Linked DNA regions of Arabidopsis thaliana. The protein of the gene in region 2 interacts with the protein of the main gene of each other region in a pairwise test. Each region holds a gene or a part of one and is shown on either strand. Other genes may lie near its edges.

What was found.
Region 1: the proteins of CLC-C (region 2) and NDPK2 interact in a protein complementation assay, tested with the Arabidopsis thaliana proteins (one large-scale study listed by BioGRID).

The regions. Positions count from the first base shown.
Region 1 is NC_003076.8:25,368,685-25,376,979, forward strand, and holds NDPK2 (nucleoside diphosphate kinase 2), read right to left. Parts: upstream 5,221-8,295; 5' UTR 5,155-5,220; coding exon 4,915-5,154; intron 4,735-4,914; coding exon 4,678-4,734; intron 4,533-4,677; coding exon 4,446-4,532; intron 4,226-4,445; coding exon 4,145-4,225; intron 4,051-4,144; coding exon 3,938-4,050; intron 3,849-3,937; coding exon 3,799-3,848; intron 3,506-3,798; coding exon 3,438-3,505; 3' UTR 3,220-3,437; downstream 1-3,219. Other genes in the region: AT5G63280 (C2H2-like zinc finger protein), read left to right, coding at 1-3, 95-164; AT5G63290 (Radical SAM superfamily protein), read right to left, coding at 665-1,295, 1,387-2,210; AT5G63300 (Ribosomal protein S21 family protein), read left to right, coding at 2,438-3,091; NPX1 (nuclear protein X1), read right to left, coding at 5,729-6,970, 7,060-7,190, 7,283-7,349, 7,447-7,571, 7,661-7,744, 7,829-7,901, 8,068-8,138. UniProt on the Arabidopsis thaliana protein: Major role in the synthesis of nucleoside triphosphates other than ATP. The ATP gamma phosphate is transferred to the NDP beta phosphate via a ping-pong mechanism, using a phosphorylated active-site intermediate. May activate MPK3 and MPK6.
Region 2 is NC_003076.8:20,285,473-20,296,006, forward strand, and holds CLC-C (chloride channel C), read right to left. Parts: upstream 6,961-10,534; 5' UTR 6,672-6,960; coding exon 6,466-6,671; intron 5,967-6,465; coding exon 5,766-5,966; intron 5,570-5,765; coding exon 5,392-5,569; intron 5,281-5,391; coding exon 5,018-5,280; intron 4,707-5,017; coding exon 4,437-4,706; intron 4,315-4,436; coding exon 3,183-4,314; intron 3,107-3,182; coding exon 3,017-3,106; 3' UTR 3,012-3,016; intron 2,931-3,011; 3' UTR 2,583-2,930; downstream 1-2,582. Other genes in the region: MAD1 (mitotic checkpoint family protein), read left to right, coding at 206-316, 401-604, 859-1,021, 1,309-1,399, 1,496-1,565, 1,879-2,007, 2,091-2,129, 2,214-2,303. UniProt on the Arabidopsis thaliana protein: Voltage-gated chloride channel.

The DNA.
Region 1 (8,295 bases), 5.1 Mb from region 2:
AAGGTACCGTATGGTGTTACTTGTTTTTATTTTCCATCATTGCCTTATCTTCAGAAATCTTTGGTCACATTGCTGTTTCTACTGTCTTTAACAGAGAAAAGAGAAGCGGAACACAAGATTTGCGTCGTATTATAAAATCTGGAAAAAAAACAAAACCGTCATAAGATGGTAATCCTCTCAAGCATTGGATTATTGAATGTGTACACAATTCATTCTCTAGACATTTTATATCGAATCGTTTTCAGCTCCTAAAGTCACTCTTGTTTAACATTTTATACAGGTAAGCTTCAAACTGCTCTTGAGATACAGGATGTTCAAATCCGATATTGGTTTGGTGAATCACAAATCTTCCTCATTACTTCTCCATCTCAGACCTTTCCTCATTTGGTGTTTCTCAAACCAGAGACTTATGGATTCCAAACGAGAGTATTTCTATGTGGTTATGAAGCTAGTTGCTATGGATATCAGATGGATTACATAGACAAATGATTTTTCTGTAAGCTTGTAAAAACAGATGATTCCTTCCACAAAATAGGAATAGTGATTAGATTTTTCTCTGTAATTTTATCGAATCTTCATACATATCAATGATAACATCAAGGTTGAAACACAATCTATAACAGTAAGAGTATAAAACAATCTTTCTTGTTAGTAGCTTTAAGGTTTAAGGAGCTACCACGCCAAACGATAGAGATATCAACTCATTAGAGAGGAGAAAACCATCTGGATCTTTCAGTCTAAGGTACCTCACATGATCCTCAATCTTCACTTCATCATTTGCAACTAAGGTTTTGAATTCATCAATCATCACTTCGCTTCTCATATCATCCAAACAAACAATGTGCCCACTCTCCACATAAGGCTCATAAACTTTACAGATTGATTTCACTACCTCACTGCCAAAAGCTTCTCCAAACTCCTTAAGTTCAAGCCCTTTAGATGTTCTGAAAGATAGCATTAAGATGTCTGTTGCAACATCCTTAAGATCAACATCACCATTTCCACACCAGTTTGCTGCGCCATTCTCCAAGTCAGCGACATAGTTTGTGTATTCCTTTAGCCTCCTTGGCCTTGAAAACCTCAACCCTCCAACATAACTCGCTGAACCTAAACCGAAAGCATAGAATGGCTTGTTCTTCCAGTATATCAAGTTGTGTTTGCACTTGAAACCGTCTCTCGAGTAACTGCTGACTTCATAATGTTCATAACCTGCACCACGGAGCATCGATGATGCTGTTTTATAAAACTCTGCAGACTGTGTTTCTGAAGGAAGAGGGGACTGTCCTGGAGTGTACCTACACAAGTTCATGAACCCAATTCGTTTCTGTTCAGATTACATTCAAGTTCTTAAGCATCAGTAAGCAAACTTGAACTACGTACACTTACAAATTTCCAAACTTTGTGCCTTGTTCGACTTGCAGATCATATACAGAAACATGATTGGGCTGTGATTCGATAGCTAATCTCAAACTCTCTTCCCACATCTCCAAAGTCTGGTGAGGCAGAGAAGAAATAAGATCCATACTCCAATTCTCAACTCCACATTCTTTAACAAACTCTATTGCTTCATACACTTGAGAGACACCATGAGCTCTTCCACAAGCTTTCAAAAGCTCATCTTGAAAAGCTTGAACTCCTAAAGACACTCTGTTAACTCCCAATTTCATCAAATCCTTCAGCTTCTGACCATCAAACGTGCCTGGATCCATCTCCATTGATATCTCAGCATCTGGACTCAGCCCGAAATTCAAACTCAATGTTTCCAGAATCAAAGAAACAAGCTTCGGAGGAACAAGAGAAGGCGTCCCACCACCGAAAAACACCGTTTCTAGATTCGGGTTCGTATCAAAATCCGTCCTTGTCGCTTTTATCTCTCTAACAAGCAAATTCACATAGTTCGTGATTCTCGGGTCATCTTCTTTTCCTTCCTCGTAGACATTAGACGGTCTGGCTGAAGAAGAAGACATGCCTAGAGCTAAGATAGGAAAGTCACAATAATGACAGCGTTTGCGACAAAACGGAAGATGAACGTAGGCTGAGGTTGGTGGACCTTTGTGTAACGTAGTAAGATTGGTTGACGCATTTCGTCGAGCACTTGGTGGAGTATCTTGTAGAACAACCTTACTAAAAGCTCGAAAAAACAACTTCGATGAGCACTTGGGTTTACCTGTAAACGATGAGAAAATTGGAGAAATCGTTGTTTTCAGCATAATTACCAAATAAAACGAGAGAAAAAGAAAGAGAGCCAGAGAGACGAAGAGAGAAAGCTTTCAAAGATCAAAGTTCACTGGTCTCGTTTTATATGCTTCAACGTCGTCGTTTTAGTCAGAAAGTAGACTCACTAAAGACTTGACCATCTAATTAACACACTAATTACAATTGAAAAATATTATAATAAGAATGAAACGATTATTCACTTATTCAGACGGAAAAAAAAATGGCGCTAGAATCGATAGTCTCTCTCTCGGAGCTTCTCTCTTCCCTTCTCTCGTCGAAACCACCGTCTCCGTCGAGTCTGAAACCTATCACGCTTCCGTCTTCCGTATCCGCGAGAACGTCACAGCATTTGTCGATGACGACGAAGATTTTAACGGCCGAGCACGATGACGTCATCAATCGAGTGGCGTATCCTTCGCTGGCGAACGCGAATCTCGTATTCTTCAAGTCCAGTTACTACAACGTCGAGGTGGTGCCTAAAGACGGCGAATCGGAGGAGCAGCTGGTTAACGATTTCAAGAGGTCGTGTTTCAGAGCGGGTGTGTTGCAGGAATCTCGAAGACGACGCTTCTTCGAGAGCTCTCTGGAGAAGAAGACGCGGAAGACCAAAGAAGCTGCGAAGAAGTATCGGAAAAGGTCAGATTTTTTTTTCACTTTTTCTTCTTTCTTTCGAAAAACACTTGGAGAAGTTGAGTCAATAGATTTTGATTTTACAGGAGACCAAACCCTAAACCAAAACCACTATCAACTTCAGAGATCCGCAAGCACAACAGAAATGCATCCAGAGAAGACGAACAAGACGATCACTGGGAACTTCCTCCTGAGGACATTGAGATTCCATATACCAACCGGTCTTAGAAGTAAACCGGAATGATATTCCGGTACACTGATCTGAGCAATCTTAATCACGCAGCATCTGCGTTTTGTAAAGCCACTCTTTTGTATGTTCTTTTAGCTTGAGATTAGAAAATTTTCATTGCTCGGTGTAGAGTGAAGATGAATGATTTTGGAGGTGTCTGTAACGTAGAACCAAATGCAGATGAATCTGTAACTAGTTTTGATTACATGACAAGTGATCACAGATATGAGAAGAATCAAGCCATAGATTGGCAGTTATATTATATTGCCGCCCAAAATCAGGAACAAAACACCAAAGCTCATCATCGGTAACAAGAAAACAAGTAAGGACACCATTATAATTGACTCTGTCTTCTCAAGGATCACTCCCTTAGCCATGTAGCTAGAGCCGAATCCCACTTGCATAGCTCGCCCTCTTTGAACCACAGACCTATGCCACAACCACAAGAGCCAAAATGTCAGCAAATGAAAACTAAAAGTTTAGCATACTAAGGAATGAGAGTGATTGGTCAAACTAAGTAAATGAAGAAGTGATAGTAATGGTTTAAAACAGATATATTGAACCTAACAATTTCAGTAATCAAGTATGATCTAATCTAGTTATGTTATCAAGTTAATTTGAAGCAGTTTGAACCACGTTGATTTGCCCCTAAACTGGACATAGTCAATGTCTCAACAATGAAAGATGGGTGAATGATTTGAACAAAAAACAAGAAATCTCACCAATCTCACGCTTGCCGTTTTCAGGGCTGTCACTACCATGCACAATGTTCCTGCAAATTGCATAATTTAAAAATATCAAACCATGAGAATTATTTTAAGTGCTTACTTCCAACAATTTTAAAGATGATAGAAGTCCAACCTTCCGGTTTGCACAGCAAGATCTCCTCTTATAGTACCAGGTTCAGCTTGAAGCGGATCTGTTTTCCCTATTAGCTTCCTGGCTGAAGCAACAACACCAACACCTTCCCAAGCCTTTACCAGGTTTAAAACATCACATGCAATTAACTCATCTAATTACAACTTGAAAACAAGTAAAAATCAAATTAGAGCATAGTTATACCCATACCATACACACAACTGGACCTGAAGTGATGTACTCAATCAGGTTAGGAAAGAATGATTTAGCACTAAGATCCTTATAATGCTCCTGGCAATTGAGATAAACACACAAGAATATTAATTATGTCAATCGAATATGAAAAAAAAATGAGGCAGCGTCATCTTACGCAAATGTAGCGAATAAGTGAAATATGCAAGTCATGATCAGGCTTCAATTTCTCGATACTTGTCAATGATTTATTAGTTATATCACATTAAGAAGCAATCTAAAGTTATCAAACTACTGATGTAATGAGTGAGTGTCAAACCTCAGCCAATTCTTTTGGGCACTGAAACATCTTGAGCCCAATAAGTTTAAACCCCTTTTTCTCAAAGCGAGAAATGATTTCTCCTACCTAAGAACATCAAATGAATCATACATTCATAATTTAAGCCAAGATAGTGTAATGAAATAACATTCAAAGCTCCATAGAGTTCCAAGATACATAATTTAACCTCAAAATCAGAAGAAGAAAAAAAATGAAAAGCAAAAACGCTTACAAGGCCTCGTTGTATGCCATCAGGTTTCACCATAATGTAAGTCTCCTCAACGTCCTCCTGAAACAATACAGAAAACAACGTAAGAACAATCAAAAGGTCACTAAATTGCATTGAGATTCATCAAATTAGAATATATCCAAACTAATTTGAATCCTAAATTCCTGATTTCGGAGTTTAATCAATGTAAGTACTAAGAAAACAAAGTAATTCGCATAAATGGAGGGGAAGCACACAAACCATAGAAGCTACAAGGTGAGGAAGGAAGATTCCCGATTCGGCGGAGCTGGAAGCGCGAAGACGGCGGCGAGACGCGGAATTGCGAGAGAAAAGACGGAACTGAGGACGAAATGCGGCCAACGCTGTTCTAAAATTAACCCTGGCTGGAGAACAGTGTGGATTGAGACTTGCCGAGTTTCTCTCCGGCGGCGAAGCCACACATAGGGGAGTCCATTTACTAACTACAGTCGCTCCCACCATTTTCTGCGCTTTGTCTTAGCTTCTCTCAGTGTCTTCGCATCATCATCTTATAAGAACAAAGTTAATTGACATAAATACCCTTTATCCAGAAGCGAAGATAATTTGGGTTTAGTTGATCAATCAAAAAGTATCAGTGCTCAGAAGTAATTTAAAAAGTGATCTCGAGTACAAAGAGTGTCTCGTTTAAATGGAGGAAACAGACTCTTTCTCTTTCCCTGTACAGTTTACTCTTCTAAAAGATTAAAAAAAACAAAAGTCTGCACATTTCAACAGTCGCACAATTTGCTGCTTTAATACCAAACCAAACCATCTTTCTTGTAGCAAAATTGTTTTTTTCTTTTTCTTTTTTCGTCGATTTAGAATCATTGTCAACAGAGTCACGTTGAAAAATAGGCAATACAGACTCATCGTCTTGTCTTCTAGATGTATCTGGCTTTGCCTTTCTTTTGCTTGCTTTAGCCATTTCACGCCACATCAAATTTACATTTTGTGCATAGAAGAATCAATGCGTAAACATCCCCAACTTTTTCTTTTCATCTTGTTGCTTTTAACAAGACCCGGAAAAAAGACTTCATCAATCAATTTCTACATCTATATCTTCCTCTCCCTGGTCAACAAGGTCAGTTTTTTGCCCTGCCTTGTCCACAACTTCGGTTTCTACCTTTCCATTGCCATCAACTACAGTTTCGTTTCCTCCCTTGTCCGAAACTTCAGTTCCTTGCACTCCCTCACCATTGTCAACAGCTTCATTTTCTTCTACCCCCTTTTCGACAACTTCGCTTTTTTGCTCTCCCAAGTCGACAACTCCAGTTTCTTGTTCTTCTTTTTCAGTAACTCTACTTTCTTGCTCTGGCACATTCGCCAATTGTTCTTCTCCTTCAATTTTATTGATGGATTTTTCATCTTCTTGGTTCCCATTATCTTGTGTCTTTTGGCTTACCAGTTCTTCGTTTCCACAATCGAGTTGGTTCTCTCCCTCTTCTCTGTGAGGACTAAGTGTTTGTCCTTCACTTTTGTCAAGGGAAAGTTCTTTTCCTACTCCGACAACTTCAGTTTCTTGCTCTCCTGTATCATCATCTCTACTACTTTCTTGCTCTAGCACATTCTCCAATTGTTCTTCTCTCTCGCTTTGATTGATTTTTTCATCTCTTTGGTTCTCATAATCTTGTGCCTTTTCGCTTACCGATTCTTCATTACCGCTAGCACGTGGGTCCTCTCTCTCTTTTCTGTGAGGACTGAGTGTACGCCCTTCACTTCGGTCAAGGGGATGTACTTCTTCCACTCCCATATCAACAACTTCATTTTCTTGCTTTCTCATATCGACAACTTCAGTTTCTTGCTCTTCCTTGTCACCAACTCCACTTTCTTGCTCTGGCATATTCTCCAGTTGTCGTTCTATTTCATTTGGGTTTATGGGTTTTCCATCTTCTTGGTCCCCATTATCATGTGCCTCTTGGCTCACCGGCTCTTCATTTCCGCTAACGAGTTGATCCTCTCCTTCTACTCTGTGAGGACTATGTTCCTGTTTTTCACTTCTGTCAAAGGGATTGTCTTCTACTTTTCTCTGGCTAAAGTGTGGCGGGTCTTCTTCTTCATCCTCATCCTCATCCATTTTCATATACAGACCTAGATGTTCTAATGGATTACTGTTGCTTTCCATCTTGAAACTACCCAAACCCAACATATCCTCACTAAACTTGGGACTCATCACTTCCATGGAAGTCGGTAATTGATCACCTTCTGTACCTGTAGCTCTAAGCATCTGGAGGTCTTCCATAAACCGTATGCCCTCGTTTATCTCCACTGTCTTTTCCATCTGCAACAGACCAGAAAGTCATTTATCATGATTGTACACCATGGTAGGGCTCTGAATAATAGAAGAGAAACTCGAAAAGTCTTTTATACCTTTTGTAAAGCTTGACGTGCAGCTTCTCTCTCTTGCTCTCTTTCCCTCCTCGCTTTTTCTGCGGCTTCTGCTTTGGCTTTTCTCCGAGCCTCCTCAGCTGCTTTGGCCTCGGCTTGTAACCGTTCTTTTTCTAATCAAACGGAAATCGCAAGAATTAAAAATAAAAGTATTTAGTTAGGAATTATGGGTACATAAGCACACTCGAATGCACTACAATCCAACCTTCCCGTAGCCGTTTTTCAAACTCCTCTCTTTCTATCCTCAATTTTTCAGGATCCCCTTTTTCACCCTGAAATTTGATGCATTAAATTTTTTGATTAAAACAATCCACAAGTTCAGGCGAGCTTTTTCGTCAACACAGTAGATCGGACACTTAAAAATTCAACCTTGGTAAAAGCCTTCTCTCGAGCTTTCATAATGGTATCAGCAAAACGATTCTTCAAGAAAGCCGCGCGGTAACGCTTATCTGGGGAATCTGGGGAAATTTGCCTCTCAGGTGGAGCAGTCTCCTCTATAATACCAAAGCATGACAGGTAAACTCATGATCTGAAAATAAACATCTATTACCATCTCCAACCTTCCTTAACTTTCATTTCTTACCATCTGGAACGAGAACTACTGCATCCATGGTGGTTGACTTTTCCCCAACAGTATGCTCAAGTTGATCCAATTCATTCAAAGAATCTACAGAGAACAAAGAATGAGTGTCGGGAAGACTTCTATATCCGAGCACTCCAACTTGCATACATCAATTATAAAGAGACTAACCATTTACAACTATCTTCTCACTGTTGCTATCATCCTCTTTTTTGTCTATACCAACTCCTGGTTGCTTTTTTTCCTAAATTAAAGAGGAGACTATACTTATTTTTCTGTAGTAATTTCACTTTTATGATTGCAAATAGTCCATGGAAATATTGGTGAGTAAATGAAAAATCTTGCAGAAATTAGAGCAACATCCAAACACAGAGACTCCATAACATAAGTTATTCCACTGTTAGATATACCTCTCTACTTGTGGGTTTTGAAGCTTTAATAGAATCTGTTTCACTCCCAGAGGAACTACAAGAATCAGAATCTGAAAGATAATCACAGAACACATCAGTATAAAAAGCACTTCCTATGAGTAAAAATAAAGCAAAGGAATCAATTCTACAGTTTGCCAAACCACAATGTAAGAACTTAATTCATTCGTCATAAACGATAACCACAGAAACTAACTATAATATCCTCTA
Region 2 (10,534 bases):
GTTGATTTATCCATAATATAGTGTCCTTTCAGGATAAGAGATAATGTGTGTAGTATAGAATTTGTTGCAAACAACTTTTTATTTAATCATGAATCTATCACAATTCAAGGGAATTAAGTTTATAGTGTCTCATTGGAGGTAACTTTTTATAATTTTCTATCAGTTTGTTGCACTATTACTAACAGAGCTTTAATTTGTAATAAAGCTCACTTTGGTCACGGAGGAGAAAGAACAGTTGAAAGCTGTTGTTAATGAATTAAGGAAGTCAAACAGTGAAGGATCTGTGTCTGGAGCCGCAGATGGAGCCCTTATTCAGGTTCTAGAATAACACAGTTCTTATTTTGAAGATTTTCCTTCTTTTTTGTTGGAAGCATAAAGCTTATTTTGCTTATATATACAGGGGTTTGAATCTTCTCTTGCAAAGAAGGAGAACTATATTAAGGATTTAGAGCAGGATCTAAATCAACTGAAGGATGTCAATAATCGTCAACGTACTGAAATAGAACTTCTAAATGAGAAACTAGTTGATGAAGCAAGGAGGAATAAGTCGCTGGAAAGGGATAGTGATCGTCTTCGCTCTGAGATCTCTTTACTGGAGTCAAAGGTACAGATGCTAGAGATGTGTGCTTGTAAAAAAGATTGCCAAAGAAAATATTTGCTTATGGAACTTTCATCTGCCATGGTCGAAATGAATAATAAAAGTTTTTAAGGGTGAATGGCGAATTTTATGTCCTGCATCTTATGTTTTTCTTAGGTTTCATGGAAGATTTTATTATTGTAAAAGCGAATAGAAATGCTATTTAGGACCTCTAACTTCTACCCTAGAGTTTGATCTGAACAGTAACATATATTTGGCAGCTGGGTCATGGTGATTATTCTGCCGCAAATACAAGGGTTTTGCGCATGGTGAATACTCTTGGTGTTGAAAACGAGGCAAAACAAACAATAGAGGCTTTACAAGCTGAGTTACAGAAGACAAAAGAAAGACTTCAAGCTGTTGAAGAATTAAAGAGCCAGTCTGGTAAATTTCTGATTGTCGACCTTTCCTGTTTTTGATACTGAGTTTGCTACAAGTCTACCATTCAATTTTACTCTCACCACAAAATTCACTGGAGAAGCATACCTTAATTTCTCTGTGACCCTATTCTCTACATCATATTCTATGTTTCCGAGAATAAAAGGGAGGGCCAAAATCTTTCTGTTGATCTGCCTCCGGAGGACTTGAGAAGAAATATTGTAGTGTTTCAAAAATGTTATTCTTATTTACTAAATATGCTTTACTGTAAATTCTTTTTCATGAATATTCAGGAGATGCTGGGAAGCTAGTTGACTCTCATATAACTGGAAAGATTGCTCAACTAAAAGAGCAAAATGCTACGCTTGAAAAACGTGAAGAGAGGTTTGTTACTGATAAATGTTTAACATGTCCTTTGTGCAAATATGACCTTGATTTCCCATACTAAAACATATGTGGAGCCTATGAATTATGAAACAGGTACAAAACTGTTTTTGCTGATAGAATTTCCGTGTTTAGAAGGGCTTGTTGTGAGCTTTTTGGTTATAAGGTATGCCACTTGCTCATAATTATGTCGTAGCACTCAAATTTTATTCTTTAGCATTACAATGGTTCCCTGAAGGCAATGATTCTGGATATTTCAGTTTTCTGAATGTTGACTATCACATTGTAAAATGTAATGTTCGTACTTTTGTCCATTTTTTACGGTCTATGAACTGCGCGTTTCTGTTGCAAAGAGGGATTCAGCTATTGCTATCTATAGTTTTCCTTACCTTCCGTTATTCGTGTAGATAGATGATCAAAGAGTCTTATTCATCTACAGAACTTGTAAACTTGTGAATTCCTTTTGAAAACTCTGGCAGATTGTAATGGACGAACATCAGCGTCCCAATGGAATCCCAGTGACTCGGTTTACTCTCCAGTCTATATATGCTCAAAGTGATGATGAAAAACTCGAGTTTGAATACGAGTCAGGAAACACCAGTATTCTAGTAAGTGATTCTTGTAAATTGTATAACTTTGATATGCTGCATTTGAATCAGTTAATCAACTGATACTGATTTAATTCCTTCAGAACAATGAGTATGCCTCTCAGGGCGACATAGCGAAGCAGGTAAAGTACAGACATAGTTTTCTTCCTTCATAAGCGCAGTGTTCTCAGTGAAGTGTAAAAACTCATTCTGTGTGTTTCTTGCAGATAGAAATATTCATCAGGAAATTCAACTCGATTCCAGCTTTTACAGCCAACTTAACGATGGAATCATTCAACCGTCGGACGCTATATTGAGAGCACTGCGTCCTTATTTCCAACTCTGTGTTTTGTATATTTCTAAAGCCTGCTGAATAGAAACTGAAACTCGAAAGCCGCAGCTTAAAACACTGGCCTTATCTATGTCTACCTCTGGTTCGTTATGTCTGCTATAATTGTGGTGTCAGTAACTCTATTTTGGTATGAAAGAAACTAGTTTCGATTTACTCAGAAAGAATATCTAATGTCATTCTCTGATTATGCGTTTATTACTTTATAGTCACCAAAAACAGTAACACTTGAATATCAAGCAAACAGATTTTTATATAACCATGAATTTAAAACACAAATAATACACAGACTACCTACATGTAAAGAAGATTAGAGCAAAATTGATATCGACTTATAATATAATTACATGTTTAGTTTTTATTTATTGTTTTGAATAAATGTTGTGAAAACCAAAACCCAAAAAAAAAAAACTTGTATCACCTCATTACACAATCATCCTTCCCCTGCTTTTCCATAATCAATCTCAACGAATAATTGAAATAAATGCCTAAGTGACATTGGTCATCTGGGCTTTTAATTTTTTGATATTCACATATTATTACATTGTAGATCTTTAGAGAACTCTCACGTACTTGTTTCTCCATTCTTTATTACCTGCAAGAACAAGTGCCAATTGGATTTAGAAAACAATTAGAGCAACCAAATGCAGGCAACAACGAAGACTAAACGGCTAACCTTATTCACTTGAGGGGATCAATGTGAGGGTAGAGTCCCAGGACATGTTCCGGCATGAAATCATGCCTTGTCAGTATTCCAACAATAGGCGGTCTCTGCAATACGAAAACATACGCGTTAGAAACATAAACAAGTCTAGCGAGAGGAAGAGAGAGCGAGAAAGAGACTGACCCCTGGTGTTTTAGGCACCACACACAAGTGGCGAAGACCAAGTTGCCGGAAAAGAATAGCCGCCTTAGCTAGAGACAGAGTCTCAAGCACAGTGTAAGGAGATGTGTTAGTGATGGGATGGAGATCAACATACATCTCCATCTCCTCCTCACTTAGATCCAAATCTTCAATCTTGAGCCCCTTACCTAACCCTGCTTTACCAAAGTCACGGGCTTTGCAACTTCTCAGAATTTGTGAACCAAAAGTTGTTCTCTGCTTCGAGAATTTCTTCCCTTGGAGAAGCACAAGGAGATGAGATCTCAAGGCAATCCCACATAGCTCAGAAGCTTCTGTGAAAGGTGGCTCATCAATTACAGGGAAACCATTATGTCTTGTCATTTTTAAAGCCTGCCATATTACCCCAACCTTTTCAACTCTCGAAAAGGATATCAAAGCTCCAGAAACTACGTCCTTTGCAACCAAATTGCGCATGTACGGCTCTGCATGGTCTTCCATGTAAGGCAGTCCTTTCATTGTTACAATCTGGTCATAGACCCCCCTGTTGAAACAATCTGCAACCGTTTTTGATATAAGGAGTACAAGCATCACCAGTGGCAGCATTAGGAGATTATTTGTAAGTTCGAGCAGTATAACACATAGAGAGACCGTCATTCTCATTGTGCCTCCAAGGAAGGAAGCAGCTCCGAGCAGAGAAAACAGACCTACATCAAGCTGAGATACTGGACCCAGCAGTCTACCCACTAGTCGTCCATAAGAGGCTCCAGCAAGAATGACAGGAATGAAAAGCCCAGAGGGTATGGCTATGCCGTATGTTATGATGCCAAGGCAGTACACTGCGACAAAGAAGATGGCAAGGGTAGAGATATGGAATTCATTTTCAGATCTGGATGTGAAAAGATTACGGATTGCATCATCATTGGTGTTGAGAAGTAGGGAGGAAAGGTCATTGTAATGGTTTGGAGGACACTGGAAACTCTTATAGATGCTGGATCGACCTACACTAGGGCACTTTCCCTCCTCTATGCCAATAGGACATGGAGTACACTGTGAAAGCCATGGGAGACCAAATGCGCAACACGAGCTCAAAATGGAAACTGCCATTACAAGCATAATTTTAAATCTCGGACCTTTCCTGCAAGTTATGGAAAGAACAAATTAAGAAAATCGAAAAGAGGCAAAGAAATGATATTATGAAAGAGTAACTCGTTGGAAAATGACTTTATGAAAGAGTTAACTTGTTGAGAAATGACGTACTCGTTTATAATGCTATATGTGCGGAGGACTTTGTCCACAAGGTAGTTGTAAAGGCTTCCAAGCACACCACCAATAACTCCAAGGAATACTATTGCTAGCAAATCTGGAGTGCTATATAGCACTGGTCCCGAGTTTACATCAAACATGATGAGACCTCCTTTCCCAAACAGTCCACATCTCCCAGAGCGACAGAACTCAATCAAACTTCGTAAGACCACTGCTACAACTGCGGTAGTGAAGAATGTCCTCCAGAGAAGGGCATTCCTCCACCTAACGATATTAAAAAAGTGAGACATAATCTTTTCCAAATGGATATAGCAATATACGCAAACCGTCTAAACTCTACACTATGTATCACTTAGATTTCCTCGCTCACTAACTTCCATTTGCATAAAGAAGTCATGTTGGATACATTATGTTTTCAACTAGACAAACATGGTGACCTTCTTGCACTTTTGCATTAAGACTTCTAGCTGGGGAGAAGCTTCCCCTTTCAGAGTCTGTCTACTACAATGACTAGACTTGCATAAGGTATCACTCCTTGGATTAGTTATAAGGAGTTAGAGAGAAACAGAAAATACCATGAAGCAGCTTCTTCAAGGGCGAAAAGCACTCCTCCAACTGGAGCACGGAAGGCAGCTGCTACACCAGCAGCAGCCCCGCAAGTGATCAGGTCTCTTCTGTCTCTATCGTTTTTGAAGAATCTGAGCCACTTCCAAGTCAACCGGTACTTTTTGGAACCACCTTGTCCAAGTAAATTAGCAATGCAAGCACCAGTATGAACCATAGGCCCTTCTTTTCCAACTACAAATCCGGCAGCAACTCCAAATATAGAGCCAAAGATCTACCAATACGAAATATTTCGTATCAGAAAAGGCCACAGAGATGAACAAAGACATCAATGCTAAATTCAGGATGAACAAAGACTGCTTGGAAAGTTGTTTGGGGATCTTACCTTAACAAAGAGGGTGCTTGGAGCTAATATTGAATAAGCATCTATACCATTGAGATATGCTTTAACCTCAGGTATGCCAGATCCTGCCGCCGCAGGAGCAATAAAAGCACAGAGTGAAGCAGCAGCAGTTGCCAAAATTAAGTTACAACCAGCAAATGCAAAAAATGCCTGGAAATATCTGCAGTATTTGAGAAACATCCGATGTCATTTATCATTCTGATCCACACATATATCCCTGTGAGCCTTAATTCTCATAACAGTATTAACCATTAAGAAATTTAGATATAATCAGTGAATAAACAGTAACTGAAACAGGATAGAAAGTGCTAAAAAATGGCGTAGAAGCAGAGATAAACAACAAAAGCTAGACTTACTTTTCCTTGAGCATGAGATTACCGATGAGCAAGAGTTTAAATCCAGCTATATTCTCAACACCAAGGTTATTCAAAAAGCCAACAAGTCCAGTAGCTAAACCAATAAGAAAAGCAAGCGCCCATTTGAGAAACGTATACTGAAGTATCTCAATCTTCTTCCTAGACCTCCAGTCTTGCTTGAAAAAATCATTTTCGAAGATCCTGCCAAATAAAAATCCCAAGTCAAGATCCTGATATGTTTACATAAGCTATAATCATTCACACCAAATTAGGCAAGACACCAGTAGGAGACACACACAAAGACAAAAAGTCAAATTCAGTCTGAAACTATGATTGCATCATCATAAAGACCCCAAAAAGATTTGCACTTTTCTCAATCTAATAGATTGTATAGCATACCTATTGCTAGGTGAAGTGGCTATGATGTCTCTCAAAAGCTAAAAGCTTCAATTTTTACCCAAAAGTATTAAAAATGAAAACATTATGATTTAAAAATTATACATGGGATGGGACCCAAAATGTTACATAATCCAAAACTTCATAGACTCATAATCAAATTTGAGATGAAGTTTAAAAACTAATCGAAAACATTTAAGCATATTAAAGTCTAATTGCCAAAGTTAAAAACTTTATCCAGAAAAAAGAACGAAACATCAAGTTATGTGCAGAAGAAAAGAGAAGAGGGAGAAAAAGGACAGACTCGTAATCAAGGCTTTCGATGGGACAAGTATTAGCTCCGACAATAGCGATCTGAGAAGTTGTGTTCTTTCGATTCCTAGCGAGAAGAGGCTGTCGAAATCCGACAGATCCATCGTCTAGAATCCCAGATATCTTCCTCTCGAAACCATGTAAAGCTCCTCCTTCAACCTCTATATCATGATGGTCTCCTTCGTGCCGATCATCCATCTCTCCTCCACGATCTTGTTTTTTTAAGAAAATAAAATTGTTTGTTTTCGATTTCCGATCAGATTACAAAGCCACAGAAATGGAAAGCTATATAATTGGGCACGAGATTCCTGGAATCATGAACCTCTCGCGCTCAAGCAGATGCTAAAAAGTCGATTTTTTTATTGTTTTTTTTTCTTTTTTGTTTTTTTTTGAGGGAGGTCGTAGAGTGGTATGGGTCAGGAATTTTGTTTTTTTATTTGATCCTAATTTAGGCAAAACTAAACTCTCTTTCTTTGTTATGATTTTCATAAGGATATATTCTTCTAAATAAATAAAAAAGTCAATAACAAAAAAAAACTTGCATAAATAAATTATCTAATTATGAAAATTTTCATAGTATTGTTTTTGCCCAACAAATTTGTATACAATCGTGATATTTTATGGGGGAAAAAACTATTTGTTTTTTATATATATTATTTTGAATTGATTTTTCATAAATAATTTCTCTCAAATTTTACAACTGTGTCCGATATACTTATATAAAAATAATATATGTATATTTTTTTCACATGATCTTGTAAAGTTTGTTTTGATTCTAACTCAATTACAGATATTTTTGAAATCTTACTTCTCATGTGTGTTTATTTAGTTTCTAGATATGAAAATTTTGTTGTTAAAATTTTATAATGATTTTTAGTTCCCAAAACTGGATTTCAACAAGAAACCAAATGAGCCCAAACTAGGGTAGACATCGTCCAATTATACGAACCACTGTGTATTTGCCAGACTTGTTGAAACATCACACAATTCAAGAGAAGAACAAAATCTATTGGATTTAACATTAAAACCAAAACAAAAAACAACATCTATTGGTTAGAAAGTCTTTTAAACTTTTATGAGAGGTGGCTACTGGCTAGATCCAATCAAATTAAGATGTCTTTGGTGTAAATCAGTTGATCCTTCTCTTTTTTTTTTTTTTTTAGTTATTAGATCAACAAGGTATGCATTCACTTTTTAACAATTCTTCTTATTCATGCAAGATGGAGAAACACGATAAAGAAATGCAGATATTGTTTTCCTTTAGTTATGGAACCTGACCTTGACATATTTTATTATTGCAAAAATTTATGGGGAAATTGATCGGATCCAATCGTTTATTGTCTCATCAAAATCATGGTTTCCTACCGAATTAATTTCTTGATTGTGTTGTAATACACATGTTGAATTCATTCCAAGGAACACTCTCAAGTTTTAATAGATTGTGGGGTTAGTTTTAAAATCTGCCACAACTGTATAATTATTAATCAACTCGATCTTTGTTTTGATGGTTTTTCAACATTTGATAGGCCAGTCGACATCTTAGTGTCTCCACTTCTTTTATTTTGAGTATAATGGTGAAAGCCACAACTAAGATATATTAACATCCGCAATGAGTTAATGTACTCACGATAGTTGAACTTTGTTTGGAAGCTCCTAACTCTCTGTTTTTTTTTTTTTTGATCAAGCGGAAGCTCCTAAATCCTATCTAGCTAAAAGACCATCATCTCCAATGTATGTTTTTTACTCTAGAATATAGTAATTCTAAAATAGAGTAGGGGTTTTCTCAAATGTATCATTTTATTATATTTTATTCTAAAAAGAATAGAGTAAACATTAGAGTTACTCCACATATATATAGAGTAATCATATCCTTTACTGTGTTTTAGAATGATGTATAGAGTGTGGAATTAAAAATGATTTTACTCTAATAAATATAGAGGGAAAATTTAAGTGGAGTTGAAGACACCCTAAGATATCTACAAAAAAAATGATTGTGTTAAAACTATAGAAATCTTCGTTGACATGTTGCGGAATATGGATGCTAGTGGTACAAGCCATAACCTATATCTTTGTATACAAGAAAACAGTTTTATGGAATGCTTTTGAAATCAAATCATATGAGTTTGGATTTAAGGGCCGTTCGCGGGTGAGAGCAAGCGACGGGCACAACTGCAAGAGCACCGTGGGAATATCCTGAATATTCCAAAGGCCATACCATATACATGGTTGCAGATCTGAAGGATCTAGGATTTAAACTTTTAGGGTAGTTGCATTAATAACGTGGACATCAAGGTTCTAGGATAGAATTTTGAATCAATCTTCGTCGACTTATTGTCAGACTACCATTATTTATCAACTACAACGTGCATTTACTATATAAAAAATAGTTTTCTAGATTATTAATATAGTGTAGTGAAGTCTTAAACGCAACAATATATAGAACAGAAACATCATCAATATAAAATTAAGCATGTTTAATTAAATGATACATCGTCGGAATTATTTTTTATGCATCGGATAAACGTGTACGCATGAGAATGAACGTTTGCGTCAACTTTATCCCAAACATAAAGAACTAAAGAAGGATTCATTATCCTTTGCACAAAAGAAAAGAAACAAGAAAAAAAAATGATTCTTTTATCCATTAGAAAATAAAGAATTGAGCAGATTACACTATAATGCAATCCATATAATTTAGTCCTATACTTGTAATCATCAAATATATGTTAAGAAAATTAGGGATGGTTGAAGCTAGCCGTACTTAGATAATATAGTGGATGATATCATTGCCATAAATAAATTAGCAATGACTAACTAATGATGGTTTATTTCTAGAGTATTGGTCCAATGCCATAAAATGGTTTCAACTTAATAGTAATAATTACAAAATTTGAATTTAACTAGATTTCTCATTTCGATTTCTTAAATGGAGGAACAAATTGTAGATATGTCATATGTAATCTAATTTGTTCGTGCAGAGTTTTTGAGCAAAAAGTTATGCATGTGATTCTTGAATTAGTGAGAATTATTAAGGGCATCTCCATCAGTGAGATATTTTCTTGGTTTCTCAAAAAAGAAAGATATTAGTATTTTAATAAATATTAGTTATATAATTAAATTTTAACAATAAAATAATATTTGACCAATAAATGATATACAAGTGTTTTTATGGGTTTCTCAGAGTTTCTCACTTGAGAGACTAATTCTAGTCTCTCTCATACTTTTTGATTATATTTTATTTTTCTATTGAACAGTTTCTAAATGAGAAACCATTGATGGAGATGGTTAAACCACCAAAAAGTAAATAAGTTTGCACCAAAAAGAAAACTGTCAACCTCTCGGGACGCACCATGTGTGAGGGGAAAGAGAGTTTTCCTAAAAGACTTTGCAATGCTCAAATTAGAAAATAATAAAAAAGGGTTGGTTAAAGGAAAAAGCAAACGCATACAAAATGATTTGGATGTAAACAAGTGTGGATGTAAACAAGTGTGCAAGTGTTTGTGAGAATTTTGAAAGTTTCTTATTCTAGAGATAAATATTCTTCTTGAGAGAGATAATAAACTCAAGTTCAATCGCCTCTTTGAGTAAAGTTCATAGCTAAGTTTTGCAAGTCTTATGATTGCTAATGAGCTTAGTAATTAAATTGCTTTAGACATAAAGACATTCGGAACCGCTCTGCATGCCCTTGTGGGTTAACTAGTCAAATTCTACATTTAAATTCAAACTAAATCATAAATAAATTAATCATAAATTTTATAAATATTTGTATATTGATGTCGTTTACAAATTTTAGTGTTTTCTGTATGATTGATTATTCAAATTAATCTCTAAAGTTCGAGTTTTTGTTTGGTTAAAATAATTAAATAGTAAAGTAATAAGTATATTAAAGAGACAAATATAAAAAATATATAAATAAGTTGTTACTTTTTTAAGTCTATGTTTATTTTTCGAAAATTTAATTAATTTTGATATGAAACTTTCTTTAAAAATTGGACTATTCTACATACATTATAGCATTTGGAATAATGTATATACATTTATTAATTAAATTAGTTACATAA